Linked DNA regions of Arabidopsis thaliana. The protein of the gene in region 1 purifies or fractionates together with the protein of each later gene. This does not show direct contact. Each region holds a gene or a part of one and is shown on either strand. Other genes may lie near its edges. The genes, in order: DEL1 and PMH1.

Region 1 (6,640 bases):
TCCAATTAAGTTTCACTCATTTATTTACTTTTGTATATCAGTTGCATACCCTCATATCTCTTGTATCATAGAACATAACTGTGACTGGACATCAACAAAATTGTGAATCAGAGGCTCAGTCCTATAAGTTTGTAATAACGTCCATATATTGCATTTATTTGAAGGCAGCCTACTGGCCGAGGCTAAAAGAACACTCAAAAGCATTTTGGAGCCAACTTTTAAAAAGTTCATTCCATCACCCTATTCTGATAAGATATAAAAGCTCTAGCTAAATAGAAAATAGGAGATAGAGAAACAGAACATACCAGATAAAGCGCATAGTAACGCAAGAACAGTGATTTCTTGCTCACTTGGTCACGAAGCATATGGGAGGCCCGTCTATACTCTCGACAATCAAAATAGGACTTTGCTAAAAGGTAAATGTCACCATCAATCGCTTCATCTTCTTCCGGGAGAGGAGTAGCTGCTTGAGAGAAGCCAACGGAAGGTAACGGTGTTGAAATAGATTCATTGGTGCTGAACCTTCTCCGGATGCTAGAGCTTCCTCGCTGAAACCTCGTATTCGCAGGTGTAAAATTAGACGGGTCTTGCTCTATCCCCACAAGCTGCTCTCCTGCCCTGCAATGATGAAAGCAAAGGAGATATCAAATATGGAACTGACTAATAGTTCACCACCATTGAACTACAATACGAGTACTAAAAACTGAAACTTTAACTCATAATTCACAAATTAGTGTCGAGCTCAAACATATCGAAAGATTGAACCGGAGATCAGAAGTTCCCATCGAAAGAACACATTTTTTCAATTAGTGTCGAGCTCAAACATATCATAACACAAAACCCACATGTCGAATCATCTGAATTGGAATGTATCCAACACCAAATTCGCAACAAAAGTGAATTCGAATCAACGAATCTGCTTAACCAAATTTGTTTACAATTAGCCCAGGATACAAAAAAATTAGTAAAACCCATAAAGGATAGTGAAAAAATCGATTTTTAATCGAACCAGAGCAGTAGCGAGCTAGAGATTGCAACAATGGGAGAGGTTGAATAAGATTAGGGTTTTGAGAAAACGAACCACTTTGCGGCGGAGTATAAACAGCGGTCGCTAAGCTGTCGAATAGCCGCACGTATTTCGTTTCGGCAACACTCTTTAGAGACCATAGCAGAAGCAGAAACTGAGAGTTTAACTTTAAGTATTCAAAAAAGAATCGAAGAATCTCTTCTTCGTCGTGGAGAGAGATTTCAGAAACATTTGCTCCCTCCATCTTAATTATTTTGAAATTTACAGAGAGATCGTGTGTATTGGGCCCATTGATTAACTTTTGGGTTTCAAAATAGGCCCATGAAACTAACATACACACACACACAAAAACTCTTTACACAACTAATTTTAATATCATATCAATTTTGTCACTTTGTATTAATTTCTGTTAGGTATCAATGAATTATTGAAAAAGTGTAAAAATAAAATAAGAATGCAATTTTTTTTTTTTTGTTTTGTCAACAACTTTAAATTAATTGGTTTAGCTCAAATGAGTAAGACCAAAGGTATGCAAAACTATTATAGAAAAAAAAATCTTAGTTGGACAAAATAACCTTTTGTTTTGGTCAATAGAAATTTTTAATGGTAAGACTATAATTTAGTCAAAGATAGACCCTGATTTTGCTTATGCAAGTAGTTAAACACTATCATGAATCTACCATTTTAAGGGCATTACTCTTTACAAGATTACAAATCAAAAGATTTAATCTTTCCAAAACCAAACAAACCATACCAAACCAAAAACAAATTCAGACCAAATCACTTTTAAATCCTACAAAACCAAAATCCCCTTACAACTTTACTTTTTGAGTTCAAGTAAAAAGATAGATATCCAAAATAGATCTTGTTACTATAATATTGATTGAAAATGTATTATTTTGGTTAATGTAATCTAATTTTGGAAAAGAAAAATGAAAAAGTTGAACAGAATCCTGAAAATATTGTAAGAAATTTTCTAAACCGAAAAAACAAAAAGACAAAAACCAAAAAATTGCGATCTGAACCGAGCACAAAACCGTAAAGGTTTCAGCTTTACCAAAATTTAGAGGAGTGTGTAAATGTTACGGAGAAGGAGGAGCCAAAAAATTCAAATTGGCGCTCAAGTATCTTGGGAAATTCCCCCTCTCTCTTTTTAGGAAATCCCTCCAAAATACAATATCAAATTCTCAATCGCAGACATCGTTTGCGTCAACCATGTCAGATCTATCGCCAGAAAGATTCAAACTTGCCGTTACTTCTCCTTCTTCCATACCGGAATCTTCTTCGGCTTTACAATTACACCATTCCTATAGTCGCAAACAGAAATCTCTCGGACTTCTTTGTACCAAGTTAGTGCCTTTTTACTAAACCCATTTTATTTATTTGTTGTTGAATTTGTTCTGATTAGTGTTCTTCGTAAACTCAGTTTCTTAGCTTTGTATAATCGAGAAGGGATTGAAATGGTTGGGCTTGATGATGCTGCCTCGAAATTAGGTATTGCCCACTTTGTGTTTGTGATTTTTATTTTCATTTCTGATTTTACATCTTAATTTGTTGATTGGGGTTTTTGGGGTTTATTTCAGGAGTGGAGAGACGAAGAATCTATGATATTGTTAATGTTCTGGAGAGTGTTGGGGTGAGACTTGTTTCTCCACTACTTTGTTTTTTTTCAGAATCCAGAAGTGTTATGTTTGCTTAATTCGAGTTTTGTCTAATTTAGGTTTTAACAAGAAGAGCAAAGAATCAGTATACGTGGAAAGGGTTTTCCGCAATTCCAGGAGCATTGAAGGAGCTACAAGTGAGTCTTTTCATTTGTTTTGTATTCGGATTCAATCCCATTCAATCCCAATTGTGAAGAAATGTAGCGATTTGATTTGCATATTCTCATAGGAAGTGTTCTTGATGTAGGAAGAGGGGGTTAAGGACACTTTTCATCGTTTCTATGTCAATGAGAATGTTAAAGTAAGTCATTTGGATTTGGTTTCTTTTGATATACTTGTGTCTTTAGTTTGTTGTCTTCATACTTCTAATGCTTAAAGTTTCATACTTTCAGGGATCTGATGATGAGGATGATGATGAAGAGTCTTCTCAGCCTCACTCTAGTAGCCAGACTGATAGTTCAAAACCTGGTTCTCTTCCCCAATCTTCAGATCCCTCCAAAATAGGTACTGTTTCATTTTGTGCGTGTAGTACTTATTGTGTTCGGGTTTAGTGCCATTGCAAAGTAGTTAAGTGATTTACCCTCTTGGTAACTCTATATGTGGGATATGAATTATGAGATGCAATGTAGATATCCTAACATTTTGTTGGTTGGTTATGTATGACAGATAACCGACGAGAGAAATCTTTAGGATTGCTTACTCAGAACTTTATCAAACTCTTTATTTGCTCTGAAGTAAGTGAGAAGTTCAAAGATTCGTTTTTTGAACTAAAGAGTTATTCACTAAGTTACTAAAGATTTGTTTTTTATGTGTTCAACTGTTTAGGCTATTAGGATCATCTCCCTTGATGACGCTGCAAAATTACTGCTTGGTGATGCCCACAATACATCAATAATGCGAAGTAATTATCTTCGTCTTGTGACCTGAAAAGTCTTTTCTTTTATGTTAACATCCTCGGTTGAGACAAATCGATCTGTGTTTGTTGACACATTGATTACTTTTATGCAGCTAAAGTGAGGCGGCTTTATGATATAGCAAATGTCTTGTCGTCAATGAATCTCATAGAGAAGGTAAGTCAAAGTTATCAATAGCTACAACAGTTGTGAACCATCTATGATTTCAAGCTGTGATTTAAGTCTTACTAGTTTCTGTATTCTCTGGTGGCAGACTCACACCTTAGATTCTAGGAAACCAGCTTTCAAGTGGTTAGGGTACAATGGTGAGCCTACTTTCACACTGAGCAGCGATTTGTTGCAATTGGAGTCAAGAAAAAGAGCTTTCGGAACTGATATTACAAACGTCAATGTTAAGAGAAGCAAATCATCATCTTCGTCCCAAGAAAACGCTACAGAGAGAAGGCTAAAGATGAAAAAGCACTCAACACCAGAGAGTTCTTATAACAAAAGCTTTGATGTTCATGAATCAAGACATGGATCAAGAGGAGGTTACCATTTTGGACCTTTTGCACCAGGCACTGGTACATATCCAACTGCTGGTTTAGAGGATAACTCTAGGAGAGCTTTTGATGTTGAGAATCTGGATTCTGATTACCGTCCCTCTTACCAAAACCAAGGTGCATATATTTTATTCACATCCATTTGATATCAAACTTGTCAAAATATTGCTATGAAATTAACTCTGTTTCTGAACAAATTTCAGTTTTGAAAGACCTCTTTTCCCATTACATGGATGCTTGGAAGACATGGTTCAGCGAAGTCACCCAGGAGAATCCATTACCTAATACATCACAACACCGTTAGATCTTCTTTTTCTTCTTCTTCTTCTTCTTCTTCTTCTTCTTCTTCTTCTTCTCTTACCTGTGAACATCAATCATCATTCGTGTAGAGAGCTTCAAGAGTCATTTCTTTTGATCAATGTGGTTTAGTTTCTCCACACAATTGTAACTGCAAGAATCCGACATTAATTCACAGATCGCATACCCTCTTTGCTTTCTGAAGTTTACTGTAGGCTGTAACTTTTGTATGTTACATATAAGAGCATTCATCTTTCGCCAGTTTTTTGCTACTTTTGTATGGCATGTTGTTTTGAGAAAAACAAAAAGAAATATCATCTCATCTTATTTTTCATTTTTTTCAAGAATTTAAAGTAGCAATACCATTTCTCTTACAGAAGGGTCTCTTGCTTTATTGGTATATTCTCATGAGTACATGTTTTAAGGAAATATCAGGAACTAGTGTTTGTCTCAGAGCTTGGAAGGAGGTTTGTACCATCCCCATGGTTCATCAGAGATATACTGAGTCACCTGCTTCACACTCAAGTAGTTCTCAAGTCCCCTGCGACGAAGAAAATATGTTTCAATTCAAATTTTGTTGGTAATCTATTACGGTTTAAGTTACTATGGACACAATTCCATCTAGTTGGAGAGTGTCTTTTTCTAATGGTTTGATAATCTTAATACTTATAGCTAACGAAAGAGACTAACCATTCTCCCAATTCACGGCCAAATCCACTGCGTTTGGTTCCACCCCATGGAGCTTGGCAGAAGCATGGCTGAGAGCAGTTGACCCACACTATTCCCGCCTGGAAAGCCTGAAACACACAATGATTACGATTCATAAAACTTTAGAGATTAAGTTCAATCATGAGGTTATTGATTGTTATTGTTGATAGTAAAAGTTAGATACACACCTTACTAACACGATCACACCGCTCCAGATCATTTGATAATACTGCGCCTGCTAATCCATATCTGCAAATACAAATAAAGTCAGGCATATGATCTAACACGTCATCAGTGGAGTTCTACTTCAAGATAAGAAGAGAAATCTACACTCACTGAGAGTCATTTGCAAGCTGAATTGCCTCATCCTCGGTGGAGAATGTTTTCACACACAGAGCAGGACCAAAGACTTCCTCTCTCCAGATTTCCATTGAAGTAGTCACATTTGAAACAATCGCAGGTTCAACAAAGTATCCCTTCTTTAAATGCTGCAGAACATAAATAAAATATTGTAAGTGCTACGGGCTCTAGATAGTATTTGGCACATACATAGAAGATTAGTCAATATAATGTACCTCAGGACGAACTCCTCCACAAAGAACAGTTGCACCTTCATTCCTAGCGTTTGAGACAAACTTTAGAACTCTCTCGTACTGCACAGGAGGATAAATATGTAAGACTTGACTAGAAATCTTTCGTCATTAACCCAAATTGATAGATAAGAGGGTTTTGGAGGATTGAGGTGTTTATTCTTGAGAATGTCAATTCTGTTTAGCAATTTAACCTGTCCTTTACTGACAACAGGACCAAGCCTACAGCCTTCTTCAAAAGGATCTGAAATCTTAATGTTCTTGGTCCACTTTACCAGCTTGTCCAAAAACTCGTCAGCAATCCTTTCCTGACATTTCACCAGATTCTTTCATGAAAACAACAGTACACAAGAAGTATAGTAAAGCTTCGCTATCCTACTTTTATCAAGGGTTCCCAAGGTCCTACGACAACTGATACTTATCAATCTATCCGAATTGCTGATGACCAGTCTTACAGATAAACATATACTGAAACTCTGTACCTTTGCATCGGTGGTTTCATGTAAAAGATAAGTTATATATTCTACTTGTTTTATGACTAGAGTAGCCTACATAATTATAACTTAATTTCCAAAGGTAACCTTTAATTTTACAACATATAATTGTGTTAACGGATAACACATAACTTGTTTTATATGTGTTAACGGATAACACATAACTTGTTTTATATGTGTTAACGGATAACACATATCATGAACAGTTCGGTGCAGAATTTAAAATCAGAGGTACTGTAGATTATAGGCTCACTTACATGCACAAGAAGTCGAGATGTGGCACTACAAATCTGCCCATTCGTCCAGAAACAACCAAACATAGTCCATTCCACAGCTGTTTAGAGCAAAATATTAGTCACAAATTAAACCAGCATTTTAGAATACAAATATATAGCATAGTTTTCTTA
Region 2 (6,324 bases), 9.9 Mb from region 1:
ATGTTAGATCGTTGGATGTTCCGCTTTATTGAATCTTTCAACAAGAAGCCGAGTACTAGAGCGTAAACTAGCTGAAACAGAGACAAAACAATGAGAAACAAAAAAAACCAAAGGAAGGAAGAAGAATCTCTCAAATCCCAAAACTTGTATCTGCCTTCTTCAGACAACAACACCCACCAGAGATTCCAGGATTGATGATTACATTACTCAGAAACTCTAGAATCCATGGATATAGTTTTTTTTTGAGTCTCTCTTATGTATTACTCTGATTATCTCTGGTTAAACTAGTAGAGTTAATTTGTAATTTTTATTCACCTTGCTTCCTGGGATTTTAACATTTTTGCATCTTTTCACTTGTCTCAGTAAAAAAACAAAATTATACTGTAGCTCACCGTAAGATAACGTACACTCGTCACAGGTGATCCTGTCCTCACAATTCTCTCTGATTTCGCTTACTCTTTCACTGAAACCCTAATTTGGGGTTTTTCAGATTTCCTTCAATCTCTCGTCGTCATTTCTTCGTCTCACCGTTGAATCTGAAAATGATCGCCGGAGTATTGCGCCGATCTTCACTCCCGTCGAGGCAGACTCTCTCCGCCGCGTTAGCCTCCTTCAATTCGTGTATTTCGCACAATCTCACTCCAGCCACCACCGGAGCTTCCGTCAGCTCTCGATTCACTCTCGCGTCGTCTCCTAACTCGTTTGGCATCAGAGCGAGGAACATCCACATTAGATCTGAGCCGTCGATGATTGTTCCCGCAGGAATCGCGTCACAAGGTTACGCCACTGTCACAAAGGATCGCAAAAACGAGATTAAGAAAGCTAAGATTAAAATTTCTCCAGACAATGTCAGACCATTGAGTAGGAAGGAGATCGCTCTCCAGGTATATGCATTTTTGTTCAAATTCATAGAATATTATTCAAAGTGCTTCATCAGATTCAAATTCGAATAGGAATCGGAATGTGAAATTCATTGAAATGATTTAGAACTGTTGTTTATGTTGTTGTTGTTGTGTGTTTGGGGTTGAATTGTAGAAAGAGGCAGCAGAAGAAAGCACATCAAAGATAAAAGGAACAAAGATTTGTATAGCGATTCGGTCTTTTGTTAACCCGGAAAAGCAAGCTTGGTGTCTTCCTCCTCACACTCGTAAAGTCGCAATGCCCGATACACGAACTCTGTACACGGTGCTAAGATCGCCTCACGTCGATAAGAAGTCTAGAGAACAGTTTGAGATGAGGTTCAAGAAACGGTTTCTTGTCATCAAAGCTCAGAGTCATGAGTTGAGCAAGAAGCTGTTTTGGTTAAAACGTTATCGTATTCTTGGAGCTCAATATGAACTCCAGTTCCATTGCAAGACCCGTTTGGATATGACTCAAGTGTTAGGCAACATCAATGGCTCCACCACCAATGCTTACTGAGATGGCTAAAGACATCATTTTGTAGAAGTTTCAAGACCCAACCGGGTACTATGCAATAATTTCGAACCTTACGGATCCATGAAACCAGCTTTGCTTCACATCAGATCAAGTAGTTATTTTCTTGCTTAGTATAAACATGTGTTTTTGGACGATTTTGAAAGATACAATTGAGTTTCAGTTACAGTGCTTTCCATTTATTCATTAGCCAATCAAAGTCTTTATACATCACCAAGGATTGAGACACATTTAGACTGCTAAAGGTGTCATTTTGAGAAGTTATAGAAACCTTTGACCCGACCATGGAATGATGTCGAACTTTAAGGATCCAAGAGCTCACATTTTAGGTGTATTCATTCATTAGGCAATTCTAAGACTTTTACATTGTACATAATCACTAATGATTTGAGACATATGGTATAGGTTAATTTGATAGATCTGATTCCGAACCTGAGCTATTGCCAATTTGCCACACTACACAAAGTTACAAAAAACAGAACTCATTAACTCTTTGCTTCACATTCAAGAACACCTTTGGGCTCAAGCAAAAAATAATAATCAACTCTGTTTCCTTACACAAGCTTGCACGTGTAGGAACATACCATACACTCACCCGCAGGTGATTATAACAAAGTTCCCTTTATACCCGCCTTTGATTCTTCTTCTTAAATCTCTAAACCCTTTTGCCGTCTCCCTAAAACCCTAATTCTCATTTCTGGGGTTTCACATTTCATCTTCACCAGAATCCATCACACTCTCTGAAATCTGAAAATGATTAGCACAGTACTTCGCCGATCTATCCTTGGTACGTCAAGGCGTACTCTCGCCGCTTCGGTGACCTCCATTAACGCAGCTCTATTTCATAACCTTGCTCCAGCCGCCGCCACAGTCTCCGATCTAGCAAATGGAGCTACTAATGTCAAGTCTCTCCCTTCGAATTCGAGCCCTTTTGGTGTTAAAGTGAGAGACTTTCATGTTAAATCTGTACCGTCGGAGTTTAGATCGTCGATTGTTTCTTCTGCGGGATTCGCGGCTCAAGAGTATGCTCCTTCTTATGAGAACGATGGAGGGATTGGAGATTCGGAGAGTGTTGGTAGCAGCGGTGGTGGTGATGGGCTTGCGATAGCTGATCTTGGTATATCTCCGGAGATTGTTAAAGCTTTGAAGGGTAGGGGTATTGAGAAACTCTTTCCTATTCAGGTATATATGATCTTCTTCTCTGTTCCATTTGGTTATAGAGATCAATTAAAAGTTTAGATTTTTTTAACTGAGTTTTTGATGTTTGTGTTTGGTTGAATAGAAAGCTGTGTTGGAGCCAGCGATGGAGGGTCGTGATATGATTGGCCGTGCAAGGACTGGAACGGGAAAGACACTTGCTTTTGGGATTCCTATTATTGACAAAATCATCAAATTCAACGCTAAACATGGGTTTGTGTTTACTGTTATATATAACGATCATTTGTGATTGAGAGATTTGCACTTCCTTTGGTTCTTATGTTGTCTTTTGATGTGACAGTCGTGGGAAGAATCCTCAGTGCTTGGTTTTGGCACCGACGAGGGAGCTTGCTCGTCAGGTTGAGAAAGAGTTCAGGGAATCTGCTCCAAGTTTGGATACTATTTGTCTCTATGGAGGTACACCAATCGGGCAACAAATGAGGGAGCTGAACTATGGTATTGATGTGGCGGTTGGAACTCCTGGTCGTATCATTGATCTGATGAAAAGGGGAGCTTTGAATCTATCAGAGGTTCAGTTTGTGGTTCTTGATGAAGCTGATCAGATGCTTCAAGTTGGATTTGCGGAAGATGTTGAAATAATATTGCAGAAGTTGCCAGCGAAGCGTCAGAGTATGATGTTTTCTGCAACAATGCCAAGTTGGATCAGATCTCTCACCAAGAAGTACCTGAACAATCCTTTGACAATTGATCTTGTGAGTAGTCTTATACCTGCTTGTGTTTATATCTTAGAATTGCTGTACAAATTGCAAATATTGATCTTGGCTGTAGCAGTGTAGTTAATGAAGTGACATTTTTTAATGACACATGTACTCTTATGTAATTTAGGTTGGAGATTCAGATCAGAAACTTGCAGATGGGATTACTATGTATTCTATCGCTGCAGATTCTTATGGAAGAGCATCCATCATTGGTCCTCTTGTAAAGGTATGTTTTCTTTACTTTGCTTTTAAGCCAATTATCTGTATCTTGTTTTGATTCTTCATTTTTGTTTCCAGTCGTGATTTTATAACATCTTCTCCTTTACAGGAACATGGCAAAGGAGGAAAATGCATTGTCTTTACCCAAACAAAACGTGATGCAGATCGCCTTGCATTTGGATTGGCAAAAAGCTATAAATGTGAAGCTTTACACGGTGACATATCTCAAGCTCAGAGAGAAAGAACACTTGCTGGTTTCAGGGATGGGAATTTCAGTATTCTTGTTGCAACTGATGTTGCTGCCCGTGGACTTGATGTACCTAATGTCGATTTAGTGAGTGAAAACAATACCTTTTCTTGCGCTTAACTAGTTCTGTTTCTCATTTTATTAACCTGTATTGTGCTTTGTGTACAGGTAATTCATTATGAGCTTCCTAATAACACGGAGACGTTTGTTCACCGAACGGGGCGAACTGGTCGTGCTGGAAAGAAAGGAAGCGCGATTCTCATCCACGGTCAAGATCAAACCAGGGCTGTTAAAATGATTGAGAAAGAAGTCGGAAGCAGATTCAATGAGGTTAATATCTTTCTTTACCACCTTTGTATCTTTTGTATGAATAGCTTGGGTAACAAACAGTTCTGAATCTATTTGGTTTTGAATTCAGCTGCCTAGCATTGCTGTGGAAAGAGGAAGCGCAAGCATGTTTGAAGGAGTAGGTGCTAGATCTGGTGGGTCGTTCGGAGGAGGTCGATCAGGCGGTGGTGGGTATGGTAGTTACGGTAGCAGCAGTGGCCGTTCAGGTGGTGGTAGTTATGGAGGTTATGGTGGCAGCAGTGGCCGTTCAGGTGGTGGTGGTGGTAGTTATGGAGGTTCAGGGGGATCAAGCAGCCGTTACTCTGGTGGTTCAGACCGCTCATCTGGTTTCGGAAGCTTTGGTTCAGGCGGTTCTTCAGGAGGATTTGGTTCAGACCGTTCTTCTCAGTCAAGTGGAAGGAGCAGCTTTGGTGGGTTTGGATCAAACGATGGTAAAAGATCTTACTGAGAGAAGTGTTGTGTTGGTTTTGACCCGACTCAGCAATAATGGAGTTGACTTAGGAGAGAACTCGGTATCTCGAGTTGAGTAGTTTACAAGGAGTCGAGCTATATATAAATTCTGTAGCTACTTCTTGTCTCATAAACCAACATAAGTTATATCATTATTTCATATCCTCTAATTCATTTTTATTTCTCAATTTGAGTGAAATGTGTTTCCCTTACTTCGCCACTTCCATTTATGAATCTTGTTAGATTGTGAGAAAAGGAAATAATGTGGTTGATCAAAGATTCAAATCATCCCTAGTTTTGATTTCTTGTTAGATCTTGCAAGTTTTTGGTAGAACCATACACAAGAAAAATTGTTTTAAGCTTTAATTCTCATATCTGACCAACAAAAATAAAACACAGTCGACAATTATTGTTCACTACAAAAAGCATTACTCTTATGTTTCACAACTAATTAGCCTTCATTTCGCAAAACTTGATGCACTGCATAGCAAGAGCATGCAACTAGCTGCTGAACGAAAAGGCTTGGCTCTGCATAGCTAGCATAATAATACCAAGCTCCTTGGGTGTGATCCCCTTTGCAGTGAATCCAGATTTAGTTTCATCCAGTCTTATAGGCCCAAGAACGGGTTCTTGTACACATACTTGGTGATTCTGAGGGTTACAAAGCTGAGATCCCATAAACGTTGAAAGGCGTTCAGGTGGTGGTATAAGAATCATTGAGATGAGTAAAACAGTCAACACCACCCACAAGGGCATGCAAATCAATGGTAGCCATCTCAACACCATCCCCCAGCTTCTCCATTTGGAGACATTTTGAAAAAAACTCAAGAACGGCGCCTGTACAACCGTCAACACTCATCCACAGCTGATCTGAAGTCAGTAATACTCTGGAAGAAGTATCAGTTTTGAACATTTTAAAAATTGATATTTACGATTTTTTTCTTTTTAGGGTGTTAAGGAATGGGGATTATCGACAAACAAGTGATGAATCAGATTATTAACAAAATATGGCATTTGTTGGGATGAACAAATACAAACAAGTCGGAATCGGATCTTGCAAGTTTTTGGATAGAAAACTAATACAAATAAGTTGTTTCAAGCTTTAATTTCTCCTATCGGACAAACAAAAATAAAACACAGTCATCAGTTTGGTTTAGTACAAAAGCATTACTCTTATGTTTCACAACTCTCAGCGTTCAATTCGCATTACAATCCACAAAAGCCTTTTGCTTTGGCTTATACAACATAACGATAGGTAACATAACGACCAGCCGTTTCACTCGGACGAATGATCTTCACGACTTGCCCACGTTTTAGTCCAAAGTATCTTGCGATTGGATCAGTCACTTGGATCCTTGGAAGCTAACAACACCCACAAAGTTCCAAACATTTAATAACACAACAAAAATTTCATCACCAAGAATTCAAACAAAGTTTCTATATACTACTAACCTGTGTCTCCTTCACTGTGTATCTCTCCAGTAAAGTTTTCTTCTCTTCAGTGGTAAGAACTTGATGCTCAGGAACAAGAACATGTTCTTTAATGTTCACTAGCATTTCCGCCTCCTGCAGCATCCACCACCAAATCATGGTTTAGTAGGATTGTGATGTGGATACATCATCATCAAGAGTCAAGACACAAAGTGATTTGTTTTACCTGGAAAACTTCCAGATGAAACTTAGAAGAGATCTCACTAATGCAAGTTCGAG

What was found.
Region 2: the proteins of DEL1 (region 1) and PMH1 purify together in Arabidopsis thaliana (affinity purification with mass spectrometry, with the first as the bait; one large-scale study listed by BioGRID). This does not show direct contact.

Annotation. Positions count from the first base shown.
Region 1 is NC_003074.8:17,781,399-17,788,038, forward strand, and holds DEL1 (DP-E2F-like 1), read left to right. Parts: upstream 1-1,932; 5' UTR 1,933-2,242; coding exon 2,243-2,376; intron 2,377-2,453; coding exon 2,454-2,521; intron 2,522-2,610; coding exon 2,611-2,663; intron 2,664-2,747; coding exon 2,748-2,825; intron 2,826-2,935; coding exon 2,936-2,989; intron 2,990-3,080; coding exon 3,081-3,192; intron 3,193-3,354; coding exon 3,355-3,422; intron 3,423-3,513; coding exon 3,514-3,589; intron 3,590-3,696; coding exon 3,697-3,758; intron 3,759-3,855; coding exon 3,856-4,261; coding exon of another isoform or gene 4,262-4,290; exon of another isoform or gene 4,291-4,324; intron 4,325-4,347; coding exon 4,348-4,448; 3' UTR 4,449-4,762; downstream 4,763-6,640. Other genes in the region: APC8 (anaphase-promoting complex subunit 8), read right to left, coding at 306-618, 1,082-1,167; ALDH10A9 (aldehyde dehydrogenase 10A9), read right to left, coding at 4,892-4,982, 5,132-5,238, 5,338-5,398, 5,486-5,637, 5,725-5,802, 5,934-6,047, 6,491-6,567. UniProt on the Arabidopsis thaliana protein: Inhibitor of E2F-dependent activation of gene expression. Binds specifically the E2 recognition site without interacting with DP proteins and prevents transcription activation by E2F/DP heterodimers.
Region 2 is NC_003074.8:7,885,195-7,891,518, forward strand, and holds PMH1 (putative mitochondrial RNA helicase 1), read left to right. Parts: upstream 1-2,081; 5' UTR 2,082-2,187; coding exon 2,188-2,616; intron 2,617-2,716; coding exon 2,717-2,844; intron 2,845-2,932; coding exon 2,933-3,344; intron 3,345-3,477; coding exon 3,478-3,576; intron 3,577-3,678; coding exon 3,679-3,903; intron 3,904-3,984; coding exon 3,985-4,146; intron 4,147-4,234; coding exon 4,235-4,612; 3' UTR 4,613-4,959; downstream 4,960-6,324. Other genes in the region: AT3G22290 (Endoplasmic reticulum vesicle transporter protein), read left to right, coding at 1-66; RPS10 (ribosomal protein S10), read left to right, coding at 543-884, 1,036-1,419; NRPB5 (Eukaryotic rpb5 RNA polymerase subunit family protein), read right to left, coding at 5,851-5,976, 6,067-6,180, 6,272-6,324.